Linked DNA regions of Drosophila melanogaster. The protein of the gene in region 2 interacts with the protein of the main gene of each other region in a pairwise test. Each region holds a gene or a part of one and is shown on either strand. Other genes may lie near its edges. The genes, in order: CG13407 and CG14362.

The links.
Region 1: the proteins of CG14362 (region 2) and CG13407 interact in a two-hybrid assay, tested with the Drosophila melanogaster proteins (one large-scale study listed by BioGRID).

The regions. Positions count from the first base shown.
Region 1 is NT_033777.3:22,101,629-22,106,152, reverse strand, and holds CG13407 (uncharacterized protein), read right to left. Parts: upstream 2,740-4,524; coding exon 2,651-2,739; intron 2,084-2,650; coding exon 1,898-2,083; intron 1,623-1,897; coding exon 563-1,622; downstream 1-562.
Region 2 is NT_033777.3:13,854,051-13,857,699, forward strand, and holds CG14362 (uncharacterized protein), read right to left. Parts: upstream 1,405-3,649; 5' UTR 1,400-1,404; coding exon 1,315-1,399; intron 1,259-1,314; coding exon 989-1,258; intron 877-988; coding exon 611-876; 3' UTR 549-610; downstream 1-548.

The DNA.
Region 1 (4,524 bases), 8.2 Mb from region 2:
GGAAAATTGCAACTTAGTTGCTGTGGCAGGCAATAAAATAAAGTCTTAGCCAAGCGCCAGGCAAAATCTGGGGGCACTTTTAATTTGTTGTGCAACAAATTAGCATTTATTTTCATTACGATTCCAACTTGCCGGGTGTGTCTGTCTGCCTCACCGCCTCATCGCCTTTTTCCATTCATTTTTTGTCAGCTCTTATGCACGTTGTTTGCTTTTAATTATAAATACATGTAAGCTAAGCATTTTTAACCCTCGGTCGTGCATTATGATATACAACTTTTAAAGGTAATGTAAAATAATTCTTATATCGTATTATAACTTTATATGAAAATCAATAATACAAGTAAGTTAAATGTGGTATTTTTAAGCTACAACGAAAGAGCGTGGATAATATTTACAGAATGTAAAATGCCATAAGCTATAAACGCTGCTTTAGCTGTTCTAAAAAAAAATCCATTCACATCTTTTTTTGCCCATCCACATTATGCCACCCCATTTTTGTGCAATGGGTTAATGCAGCAAATCCCCGCCATGCAACATAGAAATGTGCGCGGAATTCTTGCATTCAATTAATGCGTGTGCGAGTATAGAAAGCATCGCTGCGTCGCCGCTGCTGACCATTCTCGTCCTCATCCCAGAAACCATCTGCATCCGTATCCCTATCCCTATCCCGATCCCTATCCCTGTGGCCATAGCCATAGCCATAACCATGACCATCGTCATCATCACCTTGCCGTCGCTGGGCATTATCCAAGTAAGAGCTCACGCCCGACTGAGCGCCCAACGAAGCTGAAGACCACGGTGCGGATGAGTAACGCTGCCTGCCATAAGACCAAGGATGCCGATGGGAGTTTGTGCCAGCATACGGGTTATAGTGGTGCTGATAGTAATCGGAGCCCGACTCCGATTCAAAGTCGGGCCGGGACGAGTGGTCGATGTGTGTGCGATTAGGATAGAAATCGCCGCCATCGGAGGTGGAGAAGGTCTGAGGCGGAGGTCGGCGCTGCCCGTAATTATAAGCATCATCATTCGCGTTGTGGGGCCGATAATCGTGATGATTTTGCTGAGGGTTCGACTGGTACTCCATTGGCTGGCGTTGGGGCGGCTTATTGGCCATCTCCGTGTGACGGCTGTAGGGCGATTGCAGCACCACCGTGGGCGTAACAATGGAGGGCGGCACACTTGGCTCGACGGCCGGAACTAAAGCAGCCTGATGATTCCAAGATGATGCCGCTGCCGATGCCGTTACCGATTCGGTGGCCGTTGTCGAGGTCTGTTCGCGTGAATTCATCTCGGCTAATTTGTTGAAACGATTGCGAGTGCCGCTGGCTGTGAGCACCATCACGGTGGGATTCATGTCAGCCATATGATCCTTCAGGCAGTTCTGCAGCATGTTAACAAAGAAGAAGAACGAGAGCAGCGTTAGTGCGTTCATCACCGAACCGCTGCTCTTCTTCGATTTCTTTGACGATTTGGTGGGCGGAGGAGCCGGTGGTGGACCAGCCGGCGGATGGTGGGCAGATGGATATGCGGGCCCACTGCCCGCACTACTGGGATGAAAGGAGGAGAAGCTACCCGAGGGTGGGTCATGCTGCAGCTCGTACTCCACGGATGGCTCTATGCCGCTGCAAAATTCAAACTGGCATTAGATGCGGAACTTGCACTGGAATTGGGGTTATGGTTTGACTTTGATGGCCAGTGCACAGGAAGAAATAGGTAATTTAGGTTGATAAGTTCGAAACTTTAGTATTCATTAGTATCAATATTATTAAGTATATATTCATCTTCAAATAGTTATTTATATTTTTTCATAACAGTTTAATTTCTTTGTATATTTGGAATGAATTTTCTTGTTCATCCCATTGCTTTTCTCTCAGTGCAGCGGTGGTTCTTTGCTTACCCGTAGCCGGAGTGTCCGCTGCCAGCCGCCGTGGCCGCATAAGCACCGTTGTGGCTGCTGGCGGCCGCCAGGAGCGGTGGTCGTCCCTGCTGCCCCTGGTATCCTTGGTGTCCTTGGTGGTAATGGCCCGGCAAGTAGTGGCTCGGGTAGTAGTGGTTGGGATAGTAATGCACACGCTGCGTTTGACTGCAAGAGAAGGTTAGAAGGTGAGTGGTGAAAGCGGGCAAGCGGATGAGTGAGTGGGGGGGGGGGGGGGTTGGGCATGTGGTTGTGTGGCCGAGACGCCGCTTCTGTTTGTGTCCCACATTAGCCCGGCTAAGTGCCTGAGGTATCAGTCCGCGCCCGCAGTGGCTGTCTTTTGGGCCAGGGGTCGTTTGCGATTGCAGTTGCCTCCGGCACTCCAGCACTTAATCTTTAAGCCAAAGAGCACACTTTATCCTGTTGCAACTGACTAAACTCTTTCAAGGCTCCTTTAAGCGATTATTAATATTACGTAGGATAGAAGAAAGAAGTTTGTTAAAGCGTTTAAGTTTTGCATATATCAATGACTGAAAAAGAATTAATTCATTATTTACGATGTTGTTTAGCAGGACTTCTTGATAAATATATAAAAAGCACTTAAGCGAGTTCAGATTAACAATATAATTCTAGGGAACTGAGTGAGTGTGCCACTTCTTAATTATATCAAATTTAATTTGATTTGGCTGTATGGCAAATACAGTCGACATCCCAATGCCTTTGACCATGGCTTACGCATAATTATTTCCTGAGATGGCTGAAAGCAGCGGATGTTGTTCCTGCTGTTGCACGTTGAGTTGATTTGTCATTTGGCCGTCGGACATTTTCACCGTCTTTGAGTTCACCAAATTCAATTGCTAATTGATTTGTGCCGAAAAGCGCGCATGTTTATCACTACACGGTGCACCAGCGTGGCTCATTGTCGCTGGTGCTCAACCTGCCATAAACCGATGGCAACTCGACTGCAGAAGCCGCAAACAGGACGATCAGGACTAACAGGACGAGCACGACGAACTGGAGTTTGGGGCTGAAGCAGCAGGAGATGATGCGCCCAACCAACCGCAAGTGACAATGTCGTTTAGGCAACTGGGCAAAGCCTTTCCCAGACACTTGCCTGGCAGGCGGCTATTAACGCAGGTGAACTTGAAGTGGGTGGTAATCGTGGTGGTGCTGATAGTGGTGTTGCTGGTGATGCGGGAAAGAAGAGAGGCAGGCGACTGTCATTGTCAGCTGCTAAGTGAGTTTGGCTACAACTAGCAACTTGCAACTGCAACGGCCTTAAAACAACTACTCAATGGCAGTGTTGGCAGGTACGGCTCGAGCAAAGCATTTGTACCAATACTTAAACTAGGTACAAGTACAAAAATTACAAAAAACATAGTAACTCACTTATTAAAAGAAGAAGTTATAGATTCTAAACGAGAGCTCCTTACTTTATCCACTTTGCTATATTGCTTCTTTATTGAATTTCAGGAAAGGTAATCTTTAGTATCTTAATTTAATTTTGTACTCCGTGGAGAAAGTATTTCCATTTCCCATCACTGTTCGTAACACGTACCCAAAAGCCAGCTGACAATTGCCGGCAAAGTGTTTTGTGGCGACAACGGCCAACTGACACACACCTGAATTGGAGCGTTGCGTTGCATGCATGCGCTGCACATTTCGGCCAGGCCAGACAATTAGTGAGCGACAAAAGGCCGGGAATGCTCCTTGGCATCAACCCCCCCCCCCCTACACTCCTCCTACTCCCTACCCTTACCGATTCCTGTCAGTGTTAATGACGCTCCAGTCGCTTGTTTATTGCATTAAAAGCTCTATGGATGCAGCGTTATGCATCAGAAATTGTCATAATTGTGCCATGTCTGGCCCAGACTTTGCCACTGTCGTCTGTGCAGCCAAATGGAGCTCGGTTCTTGTGGTCCCTTGTGCGGTTAGTCGAACCCGGCTTTTGGTTGGGGTCCACTTCCACTTCTCCACATCCACGCCTTTGGTCTTAAAGATTTATGACTGGGGCTAATAGTTTTCATTGCCAGAAAAGATTTTTATATTGAATTGAATTTTATGGGGTATATTAGTGCTGCTTATATCAGTTATCACACACTACAAGTGCTCTGATCTTCCACTAACTTTTTCTAACTATATTTAATTGTAATATATATACTACTTTTAAACAAGAAGTATACAACTCTTCGATCACAAACATAGCACAGTCTCGAAAAATCCCTGTCTGTTGTCTTTCGTAAAGCGGAAACATTAGACTGCAATAACAAATATTTAACATTTCCGCAGTGCTAGCGACAACGTGGAGCAAAACAAAAAAGAAAGAACAACATCAGCTAGATTTGCAGAATCAAAAGCATATAATAAATTGCACTGCAACTTTTCCACACATTTTCCAGCTTTGTAACGCTTTGATTTGTCGCGCTGCCCCAACCCCCAAAAATTTGGCCCACAGGAAATGTTGGGCAAAAAACTATGGAAAAGAAACTAGAGGACTTTTGCTGATTCTTCCAAAAAAAAGGGAAGCATATCGAAAAGTCAATTGCCTTGCGGGGTTGAAAATTTGAGAACATAAATGGGGGGCTGTTTTTTTTTTTTTTTTTTTTGTG
Region 2 (3,649 bases):
GTGGCCGGAAATCGATGTGATTCTGTTGAGTAACTCAAACTGCCTAAGCCCAATCAAACCTAGCTCACGAACTATATAGTTCCGATAGGCAGTATCTTGGCAAAGGTATCGTGATCGGTGAAATTTGAGAAGTTAGTCTATATATACACATGGTTTTTAGTTTTGTTTAATAGTTGCACAGCTATTTCGCTCTAGAATAAATCAAAAAATCATGCTGATTTTCAAGCGAGCTCGTATCGCATCTATATTGGCTTTAACTGTGAGTTTTGTTTCATAACATTTAACAATGTGAATGTATAAAGGCGTTAACATTGTTTTTTTAAAGATCTTGATTCTGCAAATAATACGTACATCTAAAGCTGCTGGGCTCTTTGATTCTTTAACTGGCACTACTGGGACCACATGTTTAAGTAACTCCTATTTGTCCGTTTTATCGAGCGCACTTTCAAGTCTTTCATCAGGGGATCTTAATTTGTTAAAATTGTTGAGTCCCGCCCTCTATAATGTTCTTAAACTTTTAACGCCGGTTCTAACGGCTCTCAGCGGCTAAATCATGTGTACATTTAATTTTCAAATTTTTGTGCAGTTGAATAAATAAACGAATTACTTATTACAAATCATCTGTGGTTCGACCATGGTATTCGGGTATCCAGGTGACCATCATTTCGGTCATGTCGAAGACTGCGAATGCTTTGCAGAAGTCTTGGAACATTATTTGGTTCGAGTCCGTATGATCCATTTCCTTCATTATGGTATTCACAATGCGCATTATCTGCACGTGATCCAATAGATTTGAGAACAGCTTGTGGACAACTACAACCAAGTCATACTTTGTAATACGACCGTCCTTGTTGTTATCGTACATGTTGAAAATTACTGAAAAAATTTATATTTTACTTATGTCACAGTCTGTAATATAGGCTTCCTAAATGGCTCAGAAGCAACAGCACCACTAACCGCATTTGACCATATTTATTGTTGAACTTACACCTTAATTTCTTGTCCATCATCACATTTTTTAGCTCATTGGAGGTTTTAAGAGAATGGGCCTGAAAGGTGCTCAGAAACAGAGCGAAATCCACAAAGGTAATTGTCACTTTATTCCCGAACATGGAGTTCAATATGGTGGGCAGCAAGGGGTTTAGTTGCAGTAGTCCTGAATAGAAATTGTACTTGTGCAGATGACTTGGGGGATCTTTGCCTCCTCCTGAAAACTGGTGGAATCGAATATACAGATACTTGATCTGACTACGACTTACTGGGAAATGTTATGATATCAGAATTCTGGATTTGCACAGCTTCATAACCTCTTACGTGCTGTATTCATCCTGAGGGTGTTCATAATCTCTTGTGGAACTGAGGGATACGAGGAGAACTTCCTCAAACACAGACATCCCATTCTGTAGGGCCATCCAATTAAAACAGATTTCTTAAAATTATAGTACTTGAAAATTTCCACTGACAGCATTTACTAAGAAGCACATACAATATATAAGACACTTGCTACTTCATTTTCCATTTCCCATTTTTCTTGTTTTTGATAAACGCCGTTCAAGATCTGTTAAGATTAGGGTCTAGACCTCATTTTATGCGTTAGTTGTCTTTTACGATCGTGTACACCCATAAAAAAAAGATCTCCAAAGACAAGAAGCTGCGACAAGTGACATTTTGTGCGCAAGAAGTCGAGCACTCATAAAGCATATTACTTCACTAAAAACAGAAATTAAACCGAATTCCGAGTGTTATTCTGATTCAGTTTGTGTTGGGGCCGACTTTAATGACGGTCGATTTTGGTATTTTTTTCCATTTCATGAAGGTTAAACGAACTCAAAAAAAAAAAAAAAAGCGTAAAATAGTTTATGAAATGAGTATCGTTTTAGCTCTTGCAGTTTAGCAACCAAAGATTCTTTATATAAAAATTATTTACAATATAGCCGTGTGCCTTTAACTTGATATCAAAATCACTTTACTTGGAGGTCAGCTGAAAAACTTTCGTGGACCCAAGGGAAAAATTGTTACAACTTTTGGCGGCCCTAGAACTTCAACCGCTGTGTGGTCCGCCTGCCGAGGGTCACGTCTCAAATGGTCGCATATCTGGTGGCCAATTTGCGGCAGAAATGTGTGCCACATGACAAGCAATTAAGCGCGGACTGCGACAAAGTACGTGCCCAAGTTGGGGGTTTAGTGAACCCGGTCGCGAAAGCGATAAATTTATGACAAATTTTCAAAAGAAATGGTCTGGTCAGACTGCGTGTGGTTCAGATATCGCCGTGGCTGTGGTGATGTTCCTGGTGTTTCTGCTGGTTGTTCTCCACCGAACTTTTCGACGTGGCGGCACTTAACACCACGCATCATTTTAATTATTTATTTGGCCATAAAACAGTCGAAGTAGAGGAAGGGGTCGGTTCGGGGGCGGACTGGCCAACATTCGGCACAGTTTTCGTTAGCTGGCGGTTCGAAATCGTTAAATTTAACAAATTGCCAGCGATTTTTATCGCGCTCCAAGCCCACAGTCGACCAACCCAAGCCCGAACCAACCCGTTCAGGCTCTTTTCTGTCCTGTTTGGCCCTGCCCATAGATTGTTTTCCTTATACTCACTCGTGCTTTCTGAACTGGCGAACTTATTTATGACCAAAGGCCGAGAGATACAGTATTTTTAGTTTCAGTTTTCGGTTTCGGCCATAACGCATAATTGGCCAAAGAGTTATGAGGGAGGGAGATGACTCAGGTACTCGAAACTTTTCCCTAATTAAGTTGAATGAAATCGTCCAAAGGAAAAGAATCCGCTGGTTCACTTTATGTGGTCGTTAAATCTTTGATGTTAGTCTTATCACTTCCTTGATCGCATATAACTATTTCTATCTTATTCCCAACAAACGGTACCAAACATCCCCATCCCGAAAGATAAGGTATTTACTATCCCCAGCGAAGTGTCATCTCTGCTGTCGGGTTCGTTGCCTAAGTCATTCGTTTGCTTCAAGTTCGTTGCCTAAGTCTTATGCTCGGTACGTACTCGTTTAACTAATCGTAAGCAAACTAATTAGTGGACAAAAAATGAAATTAAATCGCATCAAAACGACTTAATTATTATTGCAAAAATATATTTGGAGCTCGAAAAGAACCAACTAATTGGCCCGCAACAACAATTCTCACCACAGGCGAGTCACGCGGCAACAAGAACAACGGCCACTGCAAACATGTTAACTGAAAATAACTTGTAATTATAATAATTATCTGTAAATTATATGGCGCACTTACAATTGCACACGGATTCATGCGCTTGTCATAAAAATCCGAAACGGAGTTTTGAGTTAACTTTGCCTTTTAATCTTGCTCGAATTTCAGTCGAGCGTTCGCAGTTGGCAGTTAGCGGTTGCAATAGTTTACGGCAGTAAGCTACTGCTGGACATTCAGGCTGTGCACACTGCGAGAAAATTGGTGAGAGATAAGAAACAAGGTGTAGACTCTGCCATAACATTATGATACAATTCTTGATATGAATAAACTAATAATATATTTTAGCTTAAATCAATATGTATATGTATTAATTCAATTATACTTTTTATTATCTCTTAACTTTTTTTTTGTGTATTCCAGTTAACGATTTTCGTTGCTATTGCAGTTTTATACCGGCAGACTTCAGAAACG